2 linked regions of the Caenorhabditis elegans genome follow. The protein of the gene in region 2 purifies or fractionates together with the protein of the main gene of each other region. This does not show direct contact. Each region holds a gene or a part of one and is shown on either strand. Other genes may lie near its edges. The genes, in order: bath-31 and nrde-2.

Region 1 (9,378 bases), 6.5 Mb from region 2:
AACAGCTCAAGCTCGATAGTGATGAGATGCGTCATGCTGCTCAGGTTCTAAGTAAATCAGCACCCTCTTGAAGCTTCAAGTTTCTCATTTATTAATTTTCAGAGAACGAAAACCAACAGCTCCGAGAGCAAATGAAGGAGTTCATCCATAGTAAGACGATGAGCATAATCCAGACACAAGCGGAGCTCCATCATTCCTTGCTTCTGAAGACTCGAGTCTTGAACAGAACACGTTAGTTGACCTTAAGTACACGCATATTATTGATTATTGATTTTTCAGAGTCCGACCTGGACAAATGCATGAAGCACAAGGAAGAGATGAGATCCGAAATGAGAAGGCTGAATCGAAAGCTCAAGAGAGCTCAGGAAGCCAAGCAGAACGAGGACTTGAATCTCAAATTTTGTTAGTTGTTCGGAAGATTTTTTTTTTTTGCATACTATAATTATTTAATATAATTATAATTATTAAAATATACTACAGTGCGTCCAACTTCTATAGCACCCCCCTCCAATTTGGCGGTTTGGAGCTTCTCAAAATATTTTTTGAAAAAGTGCTAGTGCAGTTTGATAGCAAATGTTGGAAAACCTATGCTCCCCAATTTTTATTATGATATCTCAAACACAAAAACACCAAAATGTTCAGACGGTTTCATTTTCACATTTAAAAAATAAATATAACCCCTGAAAACACGTGGAACGCCTAGGATTGTCCTGGAACGTTCGTATTTGCTTCATAAGCCATTTCTCGGCTCCCAATGACTTTCGCAGCACCAAACTTGACCAAAATGATCTTCCCCACCTATGTATTACTATTCAAATAATTGTTGAAAACATTTATTCATATGAACCAAATGGTAAAGGGAGCAACTGCAGTGATTTTCAAAAGGCTTGATTTAACTATGAAAACTAGCGTTTGGAGGAGCAGAGCTGAAGGTTGGTAATACATTTTCGACTAAAAATTACTAAATTAAAGCAAAAAAATAAAAATTATATTATGTGAACATCAAATCTGTGGAAATCCATGGATACATCAAATGCTAGACATCTACAATCACCGATTCAGGTTTTGTCTGTTAGCCTTTAGGTTCTTTGATCATAGAAATATTCAATGAGCAAATTCGCTAAATTTCAGTTGAGTTATAAATACAGCTAGAAAAATCGTCATTCAGAAAGTTATATCTTACTTTCGTCTTTAAAATTTTCGCGTGTTAGCTTGAGAAAAATACTTGCGGCCTCATGAACTTTTCCGAATAAATTTTCGAAGACTTCTAATCAAAATCAAAGCTTCAAGGATATTTGAACCGGATGAGCTAAAATTCTGTACAATAGGAAGTCAAAACCATCAGCTCTGCGCTTCCAAACGCTAGTTTTCATAGTTAAATCAAGCCTTTTGAAAATCACTGCAGTTGCTCTCTTTACCATTTGGTTCATATGAATAAATGTTCTCAACAATTATTTGAATAGTAATACATAGGTGGGGAAGATCATTTTGGTCAAGTTTGGTGCTGCGAAAATCATTGGGAGCCGAGAAATGGCCTCTGAAGCAAATACGAACGTTCCAGGACAATCCTAGGCGTTCCACGTGTTTTCAGGGGTTATATTTATTTTTTAAATGTGAAAATGAAACCGTCTGAACATTTTGGTGTAAAGTTATTCACAAAATAAATTTATTAATTAAGAAGAAAACCCCGATTTTACCGAAAATTGCCAAAAATCAGAGGGGGTGCTATAGAAGTTGGACGGCCATTTTTCCGATATTTTGACCTGATTCCTGTGATTTTTGAGATATCATAATAAAAATTGGGGAGCATAGGTTTTTCAACATTTGCTATCGAACTGCACTAGCACTTTTTCAAAAAATATTTTGAGAAGCTCCAAACCGCCAAATTGGAGGGGGGTGCTATAGAAGTTGGACGCACTGTATAATTATAATTATTTGGTGGCCCTGATAATTTATTTTATTAATAAATTATTAATAACATGTTTTGTTAGCAACTGAGATTTCAATTAAAATAATTATTTGGTCCAGCAAGTTGTCGGCCGCTCTAACTTTTTCCAGGGTGAAGCTGGTAAAAACTTGATAACTGCAAAACTGTAGAGTAGATCAAGAGCACCACTTTGTTAGTTTACAACATTTTCCTGAGCGCAATAGTTCTCGAGTTACACCTATTTGAAAACTCAGCAGCCAAAAACTTCCAACAGTCCTGTAAATCCATTACGCTCATATTGATCTGCTCTATAACAGCTGTGCAGCCGTTTTCAGTTGATATTTTGTGACGTCTGTCTGTTTTCAGTCGATATTTTGTGACGTCTGTCTGCAGAAACTCGAGATCTCAGTTTTCTCAGACAAATCTCGATGGATTGAAAGTTGAAAAGGTCTTGAATAGGGAGTTCACTGGGAACAATAATCTGGCTAAATACCTGCCATGTGTGGAAAAAATCAGTATAGTTGGCGGAAAGTCTGAATCGAAAAATGATTGGACAACATTTCACAACGTTTCTAACCTTGCGATCTTCTTCTCTGTGACTCTTAACGACCTACTATTGATGAACAATCCAGTGATTTCACTCCATGCTACCCCGTTATCCAATTCCAATTTGAAATTATTGATCAAGCTCTGGGTTAAAGGCTTTGAATCCAGACCTTGAACTTTTCATTTTCTACATTTACAATGATTATCCCCACTCTAGCCCAGAGCTACTAATGCCTAATTCAGCCGAGGAATCTGATGTTCATGGCATGCGTGCCTATCGAATTAAAAACATTCATGGAACTTTTTCTATTTGGAGGTTCTGATTTCTTTATTCCATCGTTTTTTCTAATCAACACTACTTCTATTTACGACGACGACGACGAGTTACTGTCAAACACCGTCCGACGATTGAAATCTTCAATTTTTTCCAGTTTTTGAGATTTTTTTCGAGTCTTTCGAATTAAGCTTATTTTCGAAACCTCTAACTTCTTATTTTTCTATGTTTTTGAACTTCACTTTTCAAAACTATATTTTTAAACTCCACAAAATATAACTATGTATATGTCTTATCAAAATACTTTATGAAATGCTAGATAAAAGTTTCTTGAATTCTTGACTTGACTTTTTCTGGTTTGGTCTGGTTCATGATTTGAATTTCTTCTGTAAGTCTTCAAATTTTCTCATCAATATAATATAAAGAAAACGTAAATTTATTTTTTGTACTGGCAAATAAAACTTTACAATTGAAAACAGAGAAAAAATAGTGGCCAAAAATCAGTTATTAGAAAAATGCAATTCATATTTGAAAACGAACAATTTTTAAACTTCAAGAACTCGCTTCAAGACCCGCTTCATCAGGAATGGGCTCATTTCATCAATGTTTCCAGCGATAATTGAGCGGACATCTTGGATGGTTTTGATGGTGTTGCAGCAGTGAATCTGGAAGATAAAATAAGGTTATATTCAGGTGCACGCACTTACCTCTAGTTTCTCCAACTTGTATCTAATTGCCAATTCCAATTTCTTTTTCCCGGACTTCTCGGACTCCTTGTAAAGAAATTTCTCGCATTTCCCAATAACCGCTCTAGAATCGTACATGTCAGCAAGTTGAAGGATTCCTTCGACGGTATTGTCTGAAATTTTTAAATTATTACCAATGTGAGCACTAAAAACTAACCATCAATCGAGTCCTCCAAATAGAGAACTTCCAAAAATGCCTGGAAGGCTTCCGGGTCTATCCCAGAGAGGGTAACCTCTGATTTCTTCGACTCGCCGAAACTGCCAAAGAACAAGGATTTGAAGTAGGAGCACTGCAGAGCGAGATGCTTTCTCAGAACATGAAATCTCTGCTCATCCACTACCAAAACCACATCGGACAGCTCTCCCATAGACTCATTGTCGAACTTCAAAACCGGATCTCTTCCCTTGAACCCAGAAGCGTTCAATATTTGAACATGAACTTTAAAGTGTAGCGCATCTTCAATCACAAAGTTTTTTGCGACTTTCTCCCAATCGGCAAACTGCTTCCATCCCCATGAGTTTTCCTTCGGCTTCTCACTATTGAAATTTACAGTGGCTGTTTTGCAGTGGGGAGATTCATTGGGAGATCTAAGCTTCACTTCAACATTCGCCTGAACTGACCAAATTGTGCCAAGTTGGTCGCAACTAAGATACACCTCAAGTTGATCAGTTCTTCGATTGACATGGAGTTTCCTGGAAATATAAAAATTTAAATAAAAAAAGGAAAGTTAAAAATACCATGGAATATAGTAATATTCTTTAACCTCGCTGCAATAAGTGGTATCCGGCTTGAAGTTGGAGATTGCTTTAATAGTGTAAGTTGACACAAATTCCTTTGTTATAACGAGCATGTCTACTAACCTACTAAATTGCAGAAAAATGACGAATAGGAAGACTTGTAGAGGCAGATTATGAGTGAATAACGCTAGGAGATAATCTTAGTGGATCGATAAAATAATGCATAATGCAGCGTCTCGTTTCCCGGCAAATTTGGCACAGTTGGCAGCTGGTCTTCCAAAAATGTTGTGAATTTTGTTAAAGATTACAATATTCCCCCCAAAGAAGGTGCATCGTCAATGGAGAAATTACTGAAAAAACTGAGATACTGAAAAACTCAATCAGCTCTACAATGTGCAATTACACACATTTCATAAATTCGTCGGCCCCGCTTCTCCAAAAGCCCCAACGTCATATGTGACGCAACTTCTCACAGCTTTCGAGGACACAGTCTTTGAACTTATGTACCTCTTTTTGCAACTACGCAAAAACATTTCTCACTCCCCTTCCTCCCTGCCCTCGGACAATCCGCAGAGATTTCTTCTGTGAAAATGAGTTTGTCATCACTAGACGCCGTATTGTCGCTTATTGCAACCTCTTCCACTTTGGATCAGGATTCTGCTAAGGTGCCCCAGTGTCAAGTTTGCAAAAGAAAGTTCGCGAATCAGGTTAGTTTTTGAAGTGAGCAAAAAAGTGTTGTTAATTTATCTTAATTTTACAAAATTTACTGTACAGCAGATAATCTTCCTTTTTTTGCTAGTTAGTATATAGAGCTCACTACCATTTTTCAGAAAACGCTGAGAACGCACATGAAGCACATTACGTGTAGGCCTGGACGTTCCAATGTGGTGAGTTTTTGAGAAAATGTTTAAGCCACTGAGCTTCTCCTCCTCCAACTATACGTTTTTTCAGGTCAATCACAAATTCAGATGTGAAAATTGTGAGAAACAATTCACCAACAAGCCAAACTTGAAGCGTCATCAAATAACTCACTCTGGTTCAAAATCCAAGAAGTGCAGCACTTGCCAGAGAACATTCTTCAGGGAAGATCAGGCAAGCAGATTTTATTCCATTTTTCCTGTTCAATTCCAGCAATTTGTAATTTTCAGCTTCAAAGGCACCTGCACAACCATCTCAAGGAAAGATCACATTTCGACTGTCCCGTGTTGAACTGTTCAATGCAGTTCGTATTCTATGAGGGCGTTGAAAATCATCTCGTAAACCATCACCACTTTTCATACAGCGAATCGGCTCCGTGTGGAAAATGCCACAAGTTATTCGGGAGTCCTAGGCATCTCCTGGTACACTACCATTTTGATCATAAAGAGGTGAAAAGCTTTATAATTCTTTAAGACTTAACAATCCTTTCAGGCTCTGCGCTCTTCGGCTCCTGCTCCCACAAGCTCCGCCAGACTGTCACCTATCACCGTATCAACTTCAGGAAGTCCCAGAGCTCAGTTGGCAATCTCGCCACAAGAGAAGCCGCCTCAAAAATTGAGCATAAATCTAGGAACTTCCCCGATGATCGAAGAATTCTGTGAACAGAACTCGGTATGTTTTCATTTTCAATATTGGTTTTGGTGCCGTTCTTTGAAACCATTAGACTTGAAATTTTCAGGCAACTCTTCCAAACACTGATCAACAGCTCTCACCAACTCTAAGCCCCAATGAGCCAAGGTTTAGAAATCTAATTACCAGTGAGCCAACCCCAAGCTTTGTAAGTTCTTAAGTTTCAAAGTACACTTTCATCAACTCAAAAGCTCTTCAGGAATGCAAGCACTGCACGATCAAGTTCCACGATGCCACAATGAGCATCATGCATAACGCCCTTCACGCGCCAGGAAGCCCATTCAAATGTGCAATTTGTGGAGCAGAATGTGGAAATAAGATCGTGTTCACCATGCACATCATCACTGCGAGTCATGATTTTGGTGGCATAGGAACTTAATTGATAAGATTCTACTGCTTAATTAATATTTTTTCTTGTTAAAAGTACTCAATGAATCTCGTTCTCGCCCTTGAAGGAAACTGATAATTGTTGATAACTACGGTAACCTACAGTACCCTATTCTATCGTGATCACTGATTTTATGGAGTAATCAAACAATTAGTTGGTCTTCAGAATACAGGACTGGTAGATCAAACTACGCATAGTTTCTTTTTCTATCTACATCTTCTTCACTCTCCTTCCCATTTGCTCTCTGCCAATACCGCGCGCCAAATCGATAATTGCGCCCCACCAAAACACTCTGCGCGGGTTCATTTATTCCTTCACCTCTACTCTCTTATCAATGGACCTGCCTGAAGCTCAAGCTCTTGTGCCAGTTTATTCTCAGGTACTGTAAAATTTTCACAAATTAATTAATAAAGGATCCATTTTTTTTCAGGAATTGCGCAAGGTGCAACAGTTCAAGTAATTACATTCTCAGAAATCTCTGAGCAATCACATACGGAACACCAAATGTGGACTTGGGCTGTCTTCTTACGAAGACGTTAGTGCTTAATAGATAGCGTTTGGCATCATAATCTATCTATCTCTATCTAACTCTATCTAACTTATCTATTTCAGAGGTACACCTGCGAATTCTGCGGATCGAAATACAATTACCAAAGAAGCCTGGTCAGTCATATGAAAAGTCATCTGGAAACTGAAACTGCCGCTTCTCCAGCTCCTATGCAGACCAACTATCTCACGTGTCCTATTGGTCAGTGCGAGATGAAGTTCAGTTCGCAAAAGATACTTCTCGAACATCTTTTCTGTCGCCACATAGGCCAGGTGCAAGAAGTGTAAAGCTCCGTTCGCCAGTGTTCAAGGACTCCTTGCTCATTTCAAAGAGAAACATTGTGGACTGAAGGTAGAATCAGCGACAACGTCAGCAGACGCCGCGCAGAACACTTTAGGGGAGTTATTGAATGCGATGGGAGCTTCTTTGTCAGCAGAAAGAATAGATGGTGGGCCAAGTCAGGAGCTCAGCAAGGAAACGGATTTGCAGGAAAGCTTGTTCATAGAGTCTTCAGCTTTAGCTTCAGCCAATGGATGGCCACAGCTTTCCGTTGATAGTCAAAGTTCGGGCACCAGTGGTTTCCCAACGAGAAGCAGGCTCTTCGAAGAAAAACCATTGACCTATATCAACATTGATTCTCTTCCCTCGTCTTTTAGCCTCACAACTATGGTAAGAGTTTAAATTGTATATTGAGCAAAATCTTTGGTTTTCAGGTATCTACTCCAGCTCAGTTGCTCAGCTCTTTTCCCGGTGTTGCGACAACGCCAGAAGCTTTTTTTGAAAACTGTGAAGGAAAGTTGTGGAATTCCTTGGAAGCTTCTTTGCCGTTGAAGATCAATGATGGAATGCCAAACCAGGAGTTCGAAAAGCAAGCGGATTCTCAGAAAAACTATGGATCACCACAGCTCAGCGGTGCCACCCTTGATGGTCAAGGCTCAGTGAGTTCAAGGCTCAGTGAGAGAAAGCTCAAGTACGCAAGTGATCTTCCGACAAGCAGTAATGTTTGTGAGCCAGCCAACTCATTGAGCTCGACGAGGCACCAAACTCTCACCGGTTCTAATGGGGTAAGGCCAGTAAGTTTAACTTCATGTAAAGAGCTTCTCCCTCTACAACAAACTTTTTCCAGGTTAATCGCCAATTCAAATGTGAAATCTGTGAGAAACAATTCGCCAACAAGCCAAACTTAAACCGCCATCGAAAAATTCATTCTGGAACAAAATCCAAGAAGTGCAACATTTGTCAACAAACGCTTCACAGAGAGAATAGGGTATGCTAACTAATTTCATTTTTATATACTTTTCAGAATTTTCAGCTACAAGAGCATCTGTACACACATCTCAAAGAACGATCTCATTTCGACTGCCCCATGCTGAACTGTTTTACGCAATTTCGGTCTCATTTGGAAATTCAACGTCATCTCGAGCACCACCACCTCGTTTCACCACACAATTTGGCTCCGTGTAGGAAATGTCGCAAGCACTTTGGAACTGCCAAGTATTTCCTGATTCATCACTATTATTATCATTCTACGGTGAGAAAAAACTATATAATGCTTCAAAACTAATACATCTTCTCAGGATCTGACCTCTTCGGCTCCAGCGTCAACTTGCTCAACCAGATGGTCACCTATGACCGTATCAACTTCAGAATCCAGCTCAACTTCAGAATCCAGCTCAGGAATGCCAACACTGCAAGATCCAATTCGACGATGCCCCAATGAGCCTGTTGCACAATGCCCTTCACGCTCCAGGAAGCCCATTCAAATGCTCATTTTGTGGAGCTGAGTGTGAAGATAATCTGGCGTTTACAATTCATATTGTTACTGCCAATCATAATTTTAGTGGACTTTAATTGATAATTTCGTACTGTTAAATAGTTATTTTTCGTAACGCCATTCAATAAATCTAGTTTTAGTTCTCGAGTGAAACTTAAAATTGATATATAATATGAAAAAAGGTTTTTCGGGCGCCCAAAAACTGCCGAATAGTCTTTTTTTGAAGCTTATTAGAAACTACACATATTTTCTTTCTTTCTCTGCGTCTCTCTTTCTGACCTCCCATTTGCCCTCCGCCAATACCGCGCGCTCAATCGATATTTGCCTCCAACACTCCATTCCGTAAAGGGGCATTCATAACCATTTAAATACTTTTTTCTTCTATCAATGGACCTGCCTGTAACCCCAGGTGCTCCCAATTTTGCTCAGTTGCTTGACCCAGTTCATTCTCAGGTAACTTTTTCCACGTTTGTTTTCAAAAGATTCAATTAAAATATTCAGGAGTTGGGCAAGTTTGTCTACCAATGCAAAGCGTGTAGCAGAATTTACGCGAGCAGGGTAAGAGAAAACTTTGCTCCAATTATAGTTCCAATTATCACAATTTCAGAAATCTCTGAAGTCCCACCTGAAGAGCTACAAATATGCTCGGGAAGTCGCTGGATACAAAAGTGTGAGTTTAGTTTTTTTTACTGAACAGAAAATCCCTTTGTGTTGAAACTCTACCTTTTTCCAGAAGCATACATGCGAAATCTGCGGAGCCCATTACTCAAGTAAAATATACTTGAACCGCCATATGAAAAAGCATCTGGAAACTGCTGATTCTGGAGCTC
Region 2 (13,152 bases):
AAGATTCTGAAATTATTGTTTTTCAGGATTTCTGATATTGAAAATTGTGGTTTCTAGCTTTTTATTGTTGCTTTTCTGGAAATATTAGGCTAAAAGCTCATAAACGTTTAATTTCAATTGATTTCTTATTTTCTGAAAAAACCATATATTGCCAGCTTTTTCCTTCTTACCTGTGCATAAACAGAAAGACCTCTCCGGCCTCCCGCAAGTTTTTTGTTTCAGTATCCATTTGATCGTTTTAATCGAACATTTGGGCTGAAAATTATTTTTTTTGCTTTTTCTCTTCAGAAGCTTTCAAAATATGAAAAATTGAAGTGCAACAAAAGCGATTATTAGTTAGTATTACATTAAAATGAAGAGTTTCTTTATTAACAAAAAAAAAACAATAATCTTTCACTCTACTTAAATTACTACACAAAAACTAAATAAAAATGACTGACCTAGAAAATAAGGGGAAAACGAAAAAAAACAATAGAAAAACAAGGGCCTAATTGAATTATCTAAAAAAATTATATTATCAGCAAAATTTCTGATTAAGAATGAAATTACGAAATTACCGGAAGTTTGAAGATTTCAGAAAAGAAAAAACAACAAAAAAACGTAAATAGAAAACAATAGAGTATCATGAACAAGGAAATGAATATTTTGAAATTAAACAGCAGTTTCTCTCTTCAACGTAGTTCCGAACTTGACTTCTTGGTTACGAGCTTTCAATTGCTCCTTCTCAAGCCATTCCATCTTATGTTCATGTTGAACCATTGCGTCAGCAGTATTACGATCAACGATAGCCTCGGTGAGCACTCCGGTTTCAGATGCATATGCAGAAGCTTGCCATCCGATGACAAGTTTACTCAATTCTCTTCCACTCATTCCAGATGTCTTTTTGGCAACTTCATTACACTTAGCAACCCAATCAAAGTTATCGAGTTTCAGTCGTTGAGAACGAGATCCACTAGTTGCTGGAGTGACGATGTGCTCGTTGAAGTATTGCAGAAGAATTCGTTCACGTTCTTCCATTCCTGGCAGTGTGAATTCGACAAGCTGATCGAAACTGAAAAGAATAATAAATTCTGTTTTTTATTTAAAAAAAAGGATTACCGATCGTTAACTGCCCAATCGAACTGCTCTGGCTGATTAGAAGCCACGACAAGCATGAACTTTCTCGACTGCTCTCCAGTTCTGAAGAGGAAAGCGTTGAGAGCTGCACGTGTGTCTTCAGACATTCCATTCTTTGATCTCTTTTGCAAAAAAGCGTCAGCTTCGTCAATAAAAACAATCAACCCTTTGCGACTTTTTGAAGCCCAGTCGAATACTTTATGAATTGCAGATACTCCATCACGTCCAAGTGGAGCAATATCTCCTCCAGTGAGAACTGCGTAATCGAGTCCGGAATGTTGAGCCAAACTCTTTGCGAAAAGTGTCTTTCCGGTTCCTGGTGGTCCGTAGAACATTACATTACGGAAAAGTCCATTATTTCTCTTTGTGTTTGAGGTGGTAATGGCAATATCACGAAGACGACGTTCCAAAGCAGGTGGTAATACAACTCCATTCAGTGGATCCTTCTTCTGACGAGTCATCATTTGAACACTTTTAATTGGGTGTTTGAGTACTTCAAGTGGAGTGATTCTGGATGTTTCTCTTACAAGACTTGGTTTTCCGAGACGAGATTCGATGTATCTTGCGGTGACTCCAGTTCCTCGTTTAGCGGTATACCAGCCGACAGCCAAAGCAGTCAATCCTCCTACTGCAGCAGCGATTTTCGTTTTATCATTCAAAAATTGATTGAGTCCAGAACCGATAAGTTCTCCACTGGTTTTAATTTTTTCAATGACAGTTTTTCGGTTCTCTTCTTCGTGAAGCTTCATTTGCTCTAAGTTTACATCTCTGTTATCTCGAGCAGCCTTTGCCCTGGCTCTGGTCTCTGCGTCAATTTTCTCGAGCTCGTATTTGTGTTTTAATGCTAACTCATGCTCAATAGTTTGCTTGCGAAGTTGTTCCTGCTTCTTGACAGACTCTTCTTGTTTTCGGAGGCTTTCTTCCTGCATTCTAGCTTTCATGGCAAGCTCCTCTTCGGCTCTCTTTCTGGCCAATTGATCTTGATATTCAGCACGCTGAAATTATTTAGTTGTTATGTATTCAGATGTTTGGAAAAATTACCGAATGCGCATGTTTAGTCTCTTCTCCCAAAGTCTTCCTCCGTTCTTCTTCAGCAACACGAATGTGCTCTGATTTCATATTGGCCAATTGAGCTTCGATCTTCTTGGTCTCGTTCTCGACCTCTTTTTGGCGTGTAACTTCTTGCATTCTCGACAATTCAAGAGCTTCTTTGGCATTTGGAAATTTCTCTAGATCACGAGCAGCCTTGGCGGCACGCTCCAAAGCTGTTGAGTCGAAGGAATATGCCATTTTGCTGTTTCCCTCTTGCCGTTGGCCTTGACCTGGTTGTTGTGGACCGCCAGGAGCAGCACCTGCTTGAAAATCATCCGGAATCTGCGGAGTAGCGTTTTTTTGAACACCAAATAACCAAGACATCTGAAAGAATAGATTGAAGCTTGGGATGGTGCAAAAATATTCTAAGGAATATTGATTAAAGGAAATGATTTATATATGTACTTATGCCAAAGTATGAAACAATAATTTCTTTAAAGGAATGAAATTCGGAGAGACTTTGTGTAATCCTTGAAGAAAACGTAGTATTAAAACAGAGTTGCAACCTTTTCAGTAAAATTAGATGATGCAAAACAGATTTTCCGGCTCATTTTCCCTGAATTTAAAGGACCTGCCGTCAAAAAAGACCTGCCGTCGTTATAATTCACGAATTTCTATTTTTTGAAACACATTCTGCATTGAAAAATAAACTTTAAAAAATTAAATTAAGATTGTTGGAAAAAAACAGAAATCGCTAAGGCAGATTATGCTCCAATGACATTTTCTGACGCATTTCTCGATATCGTAAAGTGCGCCAGCGTTCAAAGGCCACATCTGAGGCCCCACGAAAAGGGGAGCAGAACGAAAAGGGGATCTGCAAAAAGGGGATCTGCGAAAAGGGGAGATACGGAAAGGGGAGATACGAAAAGGGGAGCAACGAAAAGGGGATCTGGCACTGTGCCAAACGCTATTTTTCTCGAAGAAAACGATACAACGATTGTCGCGAATACGCAGAATACTGATGTTCCGCCGATCACGACTGAGAAATGATATTAATACCCAGGAAATGCGTCAAGGAAATATTAAAGAATTATTATGATTATTACGAAGTCTTTCCGTATTCTAAATGCTCACGACAATCCACCGAAGTCATCAACAACGACAAAGCCGGGAAACTCCTGTTTGAAAGCCGCGCCAAAAGACACACACGTCACGAGTGTTACAGTACTACCACACATGCACATCAAACCCCAACACGTCGACACCGCGCAAGGAAATCGTCACTTCTTCGTTTTACTCCCGGACCGGCAGGTCGCATGTTAAATATGAGCTTTCTCATTTTTATCATTCAACGGATTTATCAGTAATAAATTATATAATTCTACCACTTTTGAACCTATACCGATCCGAAACATGGTGCATCGGCTCCGATGTTACGCGTCGCGTGTTGTTAAGCGTATCTTCTAGAAGAAAACTTCAAAAATCAACGTGCGTTGCGTGAGAAAAATTGCGTTTTGTGCGTTTGGCACAGTGCCAGCTCCCCTTTTCGTATCTCCCCTTTTCGTATCTCCCCTTTTTGCAGATCCCCTTTTCGTTCTGCTCCCCTTTTCGTGGGGCCTCCCACACCTTTGTTTTTCTTTTCGAACAGTCACATTTTTCCTTTTTTTTTTTGTTTAAAACTTTCTTTCTTTCATTAAAAAAACAATTATGCAAATTGTGAATTAAGCTGTTTTCAGGGTAATATCATACCAAACTTAATGAACAATGTTTCGAGCGTATGGAAATAATGGATTGAAAAATCCAGAAAGTAAGTTTTTTCTACGAATTCATCTCATTTTTATAAATGCAAAATTCATTTTTCCAGGAATTTCTGGTGAGAATCCAGATCTTTATACGCAAACAAGGGCTGCTGTTCAACAACGAGCGGTGAGAAATATTTAGTTTTTTTTTTCATCTTTCATGCGATTTATTTCAGACTACCACTCTAAAAAGAAACGAAAAACAGAAACTCGCCGTGCAGAATGACTCTGTTTTTCAGCAAGTTGGAATTGGAGAATCTGATAGTGATGACGATAATGGTGGTGTTCGGGTGAGGCCAGTGACATTTAAACTTTAAACTTATTTTTGCTTTCAGATTAGAATGAGCCCCCACAGGTACATTGATCCAGATGATGTTTTCACTCTCCCAGAGGTGAAAAAGCAAAATGCCTTGTGCGTAAATAATTTTTCTAGTTTGAAAATAATATAAAATTTCAGGAGAGACGCGAAAATTGCGGCCCGAGCAGCTCAGGCAACTGCTTACAATACATTTCCGTCCGTTAAAAGCTTAAATGGTTGCCAAGATCCACCAGAAACAAGTCAACAATCCACAAGTCGTAAACGTTCAGCAAGCAACAGCAGGAGTCCATCGAGATCTCACAGTCGCCGATACGATCGGGATAATGGCAGGCAACGCAGCAGGAGTCGTGAAAAGAAGAGAAGAAAGAAGGAACGCAGACGAAAAAGATCCAGTAGCCGAAGCTCTAGTTCATCTCGTTCTCGGGATAGGTCATCTCGTGCTCGGGATACGTCATCTCACACTTTAATGAAAATGAACAAACCTGCAAAATATGCATTTCTCACCGATGAAGAATATCGCACGTGCGATGCGTACATTTCATCTGCGTTTAGTAAGTTTTTTCATCGAAAAAAGTGATCATATCACAATAAAGTTAATGCTTATTTACGATTCAAAGTTAAAATATATTTAGAAATTAAATATTCATATTATCGCCAGCCGGCAAATACTGCGCAATTTTCAAATTATTGTTAATTTAAAAAGTTCCAACGAGAAAAAATTACAGTTACTCAAACTAAAAGTGATTGTGAAAACTATACGCAAGGAGTTCCGAAGAAAGAAATTGCCAAGTGTCGATTGAGTGTCAAGTTTATTGTCGGTTTGGAGCATAACAATATTCTGTTCAACGTATGTTTTGGCACTTATTTTTTAATCTTTTCAAAAAACCAGTTTTCAGAATATTTATGGAGCGGAATATGCCAGAGACAAGGAAAACCGCCCATTCTGGGAGCAGCTGGATAGATACTTGAAGGATGTTCCGAAAGAGACATTCTTTCGATATGTGCCTCCAGTCGGCGGTTACTGGAAGATTCGTGACAGAGTTGATTTATTAAATCTTGATGTGAGTTATTTTGAATATATCGGAAACCGAAAACCAAGATTTCAGCACATTGACGATGATGTTCTAGCAAACGATTCGGATAATCGAAAAGATGCGTTCACATTTGAGCTCGAACAGGCGAAGAAAACATTTTCCGAAAATGTTCATAACATTGATGCTCTAATCAAAGTAATTTCAATGGAAGAAGAAATGTGTCGTCGGAATGTTGGAAGTTTCTCCAGTTCAAATCCAGCAGCTCTTGCCGAACGTCACCAGGAAATGGTGAAAAAAGCCATTAAAGCCGACGGTAGAAATGCAAAACTTCGATTGATGAAAATTGAATTACTCATCAAAATGGATCCCAACTCTCCTACTATTATTGATGACTTCAAAAATCTTACCATCACATTTCCACATGAACCAATGGTATGGATCAAGTATTTGGACTATATACAATATGATAGCAATGTGTACAATTACAAAAAATTGAAGAATGCATTCGAAGATTGTATCCGACAAGTGACTGGATTGACAAATGGAACACTTCTTTCACATTTGAATGCTGTTAACGATAGACCATTGCTTAGAATGTTCCATTTATGGATTTATATTCGTTATTTGAAGTGGATGATTTCCTGTGCACACACGCCAGTGGTACTGGCAAACATACAGGTGAGATTTTAGGAAATACTAAGAAACCTTTGGTTTTGTGAGTATTAAATCACTTTTTTTTTCAAGATTTTACTTATTTCAGGCCACTTTTGAATACAATTTTGGACTCGCTGATGTTGAAAAGCGGACGAGCACTAATTCAAAAGAACGGGAAGTCAGATTGGAGGAATTCTGGGAATCTGGTCTTCCGCGAATCGGCGACGAAGGTGCTGTTGGTGCAGAGAAGATGCTTAAACAATCGGAAGAATTATCTGATGAAGATATTCAGAAATTGGAAAATGATGATTTTGATATTCTTATTTCACGCACCGAGGAAACAATAGCGACGTGTCTTCAAGCTCAACGGGACGTGCAGATTTCGTGGATCGAAGTTGAACGAGAAATGATGAACATCGATGCTCGCGTGAAACGGACGAAACTGAAAGATTGTGAACTTTATGAAGATCATGTGGACGACTTAGAGACATGTGAACTCTGGGACATCATTCCTTTTGATAGAATTCGATATTATGAAGCACCAGGCGATTGTGCTAATTTCGATTTTGTACAACCTTTTTTGGAGTTGCTCGGCGTCAAATTTTTAAATTCGGTAAGCAAATTTCAACTAATATTATGCTTGAAATTAATTTTGAGGAATTGTAAAAATACTTTTTTTTTCCAGACGAACTGCTTCACAACAACCGAACAAATCATTTCTGATTGGATTTCTAATGATTCTACTGTTAACTTCTACAAAACTCCGACTTATACCGAGAAAAAGTGCTTTGAAGTTGGAAATAATATTCTGAAGTTTATGCTTTACAATCGACTCAAACTGACCGAAAACAATCCTGAATACTTGGATAAGACTATGGTGAAGTACTTGCTGGCAATGCTCGTCACCGAAGCTTCGGAACAGGAGAAGAAATTGAATTTCCACAGTTTTAAACTGAATCTTAAAAACTTGGTTGGAACATTCATCACTAAACATCCAGACATTTTCAAGCGTGCCATGCTGAGTAAGATCACAGGAATTGTCTACATGGAAAAGTTTGTGTCTTGGTGGGAGCGTGCACTGAAAGAACAGGAAAAAGTAGTGGAAGCTGACGAGAGAAGGAAGAATTATAAAGAGATCAAGATGGAGGAAGGCGTCGTAGATGATGTTAAATTCGATGTCATATTGTTAAAGAAAGACAAAGAACGAGTGCAAACAATTCGTGATAAGATTAGGGATATGATTGATATAGCTATCCCCAAATCAACAGAAAAGCTCATTCAGAGCGCTGATTCTTCATTGCCAACGCTTCAATTACATCTTTATGCCAATGTTCTACGTGGAAGACTTTCTATTCTAAATCAAAATGCTTTAGAAGAGACTCGAGATGTTTTCTGTAAAGAGATTCTTGGAATTCACACTTCGGAATTTGAAAGTGATGAAGCTCTCTTATTGGCATTGGATCAAGGATTGAACGAATTGCTGGAGCATTGCAAGGAGAAGGACAATCTTGAATCGGTCGACAGTATACCAGAATTACCAAGAGCTGAGGCACTGTGCGAAGCTTTGAAAGTTGTGGCGGTATTTGTTTTCTGTGAGTTTTATAGTCTTTGAGTCTTTGTAAAAATTAATTGATTATTTTATTAAATTTCAGTGGACAAGATGGCATTCAGCAGGCGTGCAGTCGACTGCCTCATTGCCAACGCGATCACCAAATTCGAGCAATTTGAAGCCAAGAAAAATGATTTCAATCGTGGAACTTATGAAAAATACTGTGATCAGATCGATTTGAAATTCATCACGGACACTCTCATAACCTTCTTTTCGCACAAAAAACACCGTTTCATCTACAATGAAAACTTCAAAAAGTTGATCTTCCAAGCATCGCAAGCGTTCCCATGTGATTCGAAATATGCGAAGATGCTCGGCGAGCTGCATTCCAGCGGTCGTCTGCAAGTGATGAAGCTTCAAGGATTCACCGACAGCAGAAATAGTATTTTGAATGCGAAACGAGATCAGCAATTTGATCCAGAACTTGAAACTCGTCTTCTCATGAACTCGTTGACTATTATGTTCTCTTGGATGAATGCAGCCAACCGGATTGGAGACGCCGGAAATCAAATCCTCTATAAAAATTGGAAACGAGAAGCAGCTAATACACGTGATCCGGCTATCTGGAGACAAGTTATAAGAGTTGCCAGTAAATTGTCACAGAAGATTCTAAAGGACGATGTGAGTTTTCAGGAAAAAAGGTTGTATGTGAAATTTAAATTTCTTACAGGCTTACACTCGTGCAAGAGGTCAATGTACATGGGCTCTCAATTTGCACTTTGATTATATTGAAGCAAAAACTGTCCGCAAGAATGGAGATCTAATGGAGATGATGTAAGTTCAATTATTGAGAGCAAAGTTTCAGTTCAAAAATGTAATTTGTTGTGCCCGATTTTTGAAAATAATCAACTAAGATTGATTTTATTACAATGTTCAAATTATCGAAGTATAATTAATTTAAATCGTATTATTTTTTTTCGATTTCTAGTCTAGTCTATATACAACAATACAATACAAAGCGAATAAATTTTATTAAAACGCTATGCAATTATAATCAGCACACATGCCAATGCATTCTAAATAACACTATTTACAGCTACCTCATTCTCGAACAAAGCATGGGACAAGAGCATAGTTTATTTGTGACCGACGAGGAATACATGAAAACACAGCAGGAAATTGGACTACAGTATTCCGAATCCGGACGTTGATTCTCTCTTTTTTGTGTAACTCGGCCTATAACTTTTTTAAAAATCCATTCCATATAATTATCCACCGGTATTCATTTCATCCCAGGAATCTTTCTTTCTTTTGTTCTTTCTATCCGACAGATTATGTTTATTTTTGTATTATAATTCTTCTGTCTTTTCGCATTTTTTGTTTCGGTAAAAATTTTTTGTTTTCAACAATGAAAATATTCGTTTTAATGTCATATTTCTTTCATCATGAAAGAGGTTACACTTCCTCCAACCAGTTCCTTCCATGCATGAATAATTGTATTAAATATGTATTGCAATGTATGTGCACAGATGTTGAGGGCACTCCGCGGAGCAGCGGACCTACTATCGACGGCTCTTTACAAGAATGAAATGATGATGAGTAGAAGGTGAGTATAGATTTCTCTAATTATTATTTAAACTATGCGAAAATCCTGCTTTTGGCGAAAAATTTTGATGTTTTGCTTTTTTTACACTCGAGAATATTTTAAACTTTCAATTTATAAAATTTGTTTAAGCGAAAATTTTTCGTTGAAAAAAGTGAACCTGCCACAAAATGGAAACGTTTTTAAAAAATTAATTTTTAGAATTTCCCTTTTTTTTCCGAAAACTTACACTTGAAATTAGAAGTAAAATGCAATTATTATTAAAATATTCGAAAATTCTCAACAAAAAAAAACGTTTGAGGCCTGCGAAATTACTCGTATTTTTGACGAAAAGTTCAATTTTTGCTTTTTTATTCGAAAAAAAAACTAAATGGAAAACTTTTTTTTTGGTTTTCAAATTTCAAAATTTGTTATTCGAACTCAATCCTTTTCTCGCGCTGAGAAAACAGGAATTATCGTCTTATGGCTTAATTTAAATGTCCAACAATTTCCAGATATTTATCAACTCCAGCTCCTGAACCTGCAAAACCATCATCTGAAGAGACTACGGAATCCACGGAACCGGCAACATCTGTAGAAGATGCTGGAGAACCTATGAAAGAGAAACGAATCACTCAACCATATTCTAGCGAGGCGCTTACAAAATTGAAACTTGATCAGTATCCATTGTAGGTTTTTGGTTTTTTTTGTATATTTTTGAAATTATTGCCTGCCGCTTTTTTATTCTCAAAGTGAGAAAGAATTGCACATAAACTATACACTTGTATTGAATATACGTTTCTATAGATACGTGGAGAGAGAATGGTGGAAAACCGGAAAACGAATGACATTCTGGGCGAGTTGGCGTCAGTTGAGAGATGTCAAACGACGTGAGCAGATTCAGGTTGGTTTCTATTTTTTATACGAATATTGTCATATGTGCTAAAAATATTTTTGGTTTTTATTTCAAACCAAAAAGGAAAAAAATTGAAATTTGTAAAAGAACCAAAACAAAAAATACCAAAAAATACGAATATTGTCATATGTGCCAAAAAATTTGTTTTAAAGGATTAAAGGATTAAAGGACGATCCGTTCTTCAAGTGCTATGCACTGCGGATCTGGGATTCAGGTACACTGCCTGGTGGTGATCCCTCTGGGCTGTAATTTAAGCCACGTCCTAGCCGGGGACTGTGGCCGATAATCCAGTCGTGGATTGCTCCACTTCCCAATAGAGGCTGGGTGAACCTAGGGGGTGAGGCCGGACTTGAACTCGTGACCTCCAGACTGCTAGCGGCCACCACTACCGACAGAGCTAAAAAACATCAAAAACCATAAGAATATTTACAAAATATAAATTGTTTAAAATACAAAAAAAAAATCGCATTTTTCTTCGTGCCAGAATACCAAAAAACACCAGGGCTGTCACCAAAAAAAATTTTCCATAAACAAAAAAAAGTTTTTCGCTTCTTTTCACATGTCTGAAATTTTTTAAATATTTTTTTTATTCGAAAACCACCAAAAAATCGTTATTGAAAATCATTACTTTTTAAAAAAACAAAACCCCACAAAACAGAAAACCCAAAAAAAAAACCATTTTTTGTGACGAAAAAACCAAAAAATTCCCTTTTTTATTAAAAAAACCCCCACAAACCAAAAAAACCAGAAAAAACCCATTTTTGTAACAAAAAACCCCCGACACCCCCATTTTTGACAAAAAAGCCTTAAACAAGCCCAGGCCTGCTGCTTGCCCTTGATTAAAATTTAATTTCAGGAAGTCGGCGCGGATCGTATGCGTCTAAAAGCTATCAAATTCAACACAATTCTCCCGCAAGCGATTCGTGACGAAGCAGCCGAGAAAATGCAAAAAGCTCGAAAATACGATCATCCTCGTCTGATTCTCAATATGTGCCAGTTCACAGGACGACAACGTGGAAAGATAAAGCCATACAGATTGAGTAGACACTTGTTCCGTCGATTTGCAGATAGATCAGCTCTCAGTGGAGTCCAAAGAGCCATGTGGTAGTGTGAGATAGGAGTTGTAGTTTTAGATTTATTTGTTTTCTATTTTTGATTTCTTCTTCGTTTTGAACACTTCTTTTGTTATCGATGCTCTTAATGAATTATTTTTGTTTTATTGTGATATAGATTATGATATCTCTGTATTGGTTATTGATCAATTAAAATACTTTTTTTTCAGAAAAATTATTATTTTCAGATGTTTTTCTGTCCATCAGTGTGCGAGCGTGCTCCACAGCCCCAATACAATGGGTCTCGTTAGTTAATTGGCGGCAAAAGCCTAAAAATTCAAACGTTTTATTTTTCGGCAATCAAGGATGTCTTCGAAAAATGTCTGCTTCAGAGATTCACTGTTTTGCCTCCAATACCTAACGAGACCCAACTATTGGAGGCGGATCCTGCTCATTTCGCTGCTGAGCGCGCTTTCACATTGATCTCAAAAAACGAATTTTTCTGCGGTGTCGGCTTCAAAAAAAATTTCCAGAGAAATCGCTATTTTTTCGTTTTCCCATTGTTCACAAATTACATTAAAATTTCGGTCAATTTGCTTCCTTTTAGTGAAAAAGTATTTTTTTTCTCTTATCAACAGGCAAAGTTTGATTCAAAAAATTTAAAGTAAAAAAAAGATTTCAAGATTTTCCAGAAAATCGAAAATTTTAATTTTTCGATTTTTAATTTTCTCTGAAACACTGCTTCCCATAATATCTATCTCATTATTCTTACAGCATCCTTATGACAAATGCTCAACCAACGGAGCTCATATCCCTTCCTTCGGAGCTCCTTTGCCATCTTTTCACCTATTTACCACAACGACAATTGATCACAGAAATTCCACTGGTATGCAGAAGGTTCAATACGATATTAAACGATGACAAATTTTGGAGTAGAAGAATTGTTCGTATTATTACTATTTTATCGAAAAAAATTATTTTATTTTTTTAGCGCACTGAGCAGAAAGTTCGTCTACCAGATTGTGAACTCAAGCATCCTGAGTATGAACCAAAGAAATCATTTTACGCGATGCATCGACAGAGAGATCGCTGGAGAGCATGGGAGACGCAGACAGTTATCACTGCTCCAGGACATTCAGCTACAGTCGATAGTGTGATGCTTTTCGAGAATAATAATAAGCAATTCTGTCTATCTGGATCCAGAGATCGAACTATTCGTCTTTGGAGCATTGAAAACGCTCGAAATGGTGAAGATACTGAACAAAATCCATGGACAGTGGCAAAAGATGATACAGCTCATTCTGGATGGATTTGGAATATGGCTCAAGAGAGCACATCAACAAATTTCTACACAACATCGTGGGATTCAACTGTAAAAAGTTGGCACATCACAGATAATGGAGCTCTTCAAAATCTTAATTCCGTGAATGTTGGATCTGCGGCCCAGTGTATTTCTTGTTCTGGAAATGAGAATGAAGTTGTGTGCACAACATTTGCGAAACGGGTCGCTGTCATTGATTCCAGAACATTTCAAGTAGTCGCTGATCACAAGCTGCACAAAAGAGCTGTAATTGCTTTGGCTGTTCAAGGGGATAAGATTTTTACGAGTGGAGAAGATAGACTTATGATGATGGTAGATCGACGAAATTTCAGTAAACCTGTGCTTTTTGTGAGTTTTTTTTAAATTGAGATTCAGCAAATTTTTGTTGAAGACAAAAAGATGAGCGCATTTGAAAAAGTACTGTAGTTTGAAAATTGTCAAAATTTCTTGCAAAAAAAATATTTTGCTGGTTTTTCTATAATTTTTCAAAATAAATTGCCAATTTTTGATGAAAAATTTTCTGCATCTTTCTTGCAAATTTTTGAAAGAATTAAGAATCAAGAAATTTTCCATCGATTTTTTGTATTTTTCGTTAAAACATACTCATTAATTCAAAAAAAAACTAAAATTAAAAATTAAAACGCACATTTAAATTTTAACAAATTGTGAGAAAATCTATGAAAATTCCACAGAAAAAAGTTGAAACTACAGTACTCTTTAAAGGCGCACACCTTTTCTAATTTAACAAAATATTATGTGCCGAGACCGGTTACCGTAT

The links.
Region 1: the proteins of nrde-2 (region 2) and bath-31 fractionate together in Caenorhabditis elegans (co-fractionation; one large-scale study listed by BioGRID). This does not show direct contact.

The regions. Positions count from the first base shown.
Region 1 is NC_003280.10:3,726,992-3,736,369, reverse strand, and holds bath-31 (BTB domain-containing protein), read right to left. Parts: upstream 4,398-9,378; 5' UTR 4,345-4,397; coding exon 4,232-4,344; intron 4,187-4,231; coding exon 3,651-4,186; intron 3,607-3,650; coding exon 3,455-3,606; intron 3,413-3,454; coding exon 3,293-3,412; 3' UTR 3,189-3,292; downstream 1-3,188. Other genes in the region: F12E12.6 (CCDC92 domain-containing protein), read left to right, coding at 27-51, 103-231, 280-407; Zinc finger protein sdz-12, read left to right, coding at 4,822-4,938, 5,062-5,118, 5,183-5,323, 5,380-5,598, 5,642-5,821, 5,889-5,987, 6,039-6,218; C46E10.8 (C2H2-type domain-containing protein), read left to right, coding at 8,936-9,001, 9,050-9,106, 9,156-9,218, 9,282-9,378.
Region 2 is NC_003280.10:10,238,371-10,251,522, reverse strand, and holds nrde-2 (Nuclear exosome regulator NRDE2), read left to right. Parts: upstream 1-3,884; 5' UTR 3,885-3,912; coding exon 3,913-3,955; intron 3,956-4,012; coding exon 4,013-4,074; intron 4,075-4,123; coding exon 4,124-4,237; intron 4,238-4,282; coding exon 4,283-4,359; intron 4,360-4,404; coding exon 4,405-4,817; intron 4,818-4,991; coding exon 4,992-5,113; intron 5,114-5,162; coding exon 5,163-5,327; intron 5,328-5,372; coding exon 5,373-5,978; intron 5,979-6,060; coding exon 6,061-6,567; intron 6,568-6,639; coding exon 6,640-7,546; intron 7,547-7,606; coding exon 7,607-8,184; intron 8,185-8,233; coding exon 8,234-8,337; intron 8,338-8,599; coding exon 8,600-8,714; 3' UTR 8,715-8,927; downstream 8,928-13,152. Other genes in the region: F54B3.1 (Protein SZT2), read right to left, coding at 1-6, 171-229; atad-3 (ATPase family AAA domain-containing protein 3), read right to left, coding at 652-1,051, 1,099-2,111, 2,158-2,532; mrps-14 (Small ribosomal subunit protein uS14m), read left to right, coding at 9,033-9,109, 9,601-9,774, 9,893-9,989, 10,858-11,109; F-box/WD repeat-containing protein mec-15, read left to right, coding at 11,835-11,996, 12,045-12,722. UniProt on the Caenorhabditis elegans protein: Protein of the nuclear speckles that regulates RNA exosomal degradation. Involved in short interfering RNAs-mediated silencing in nuclei.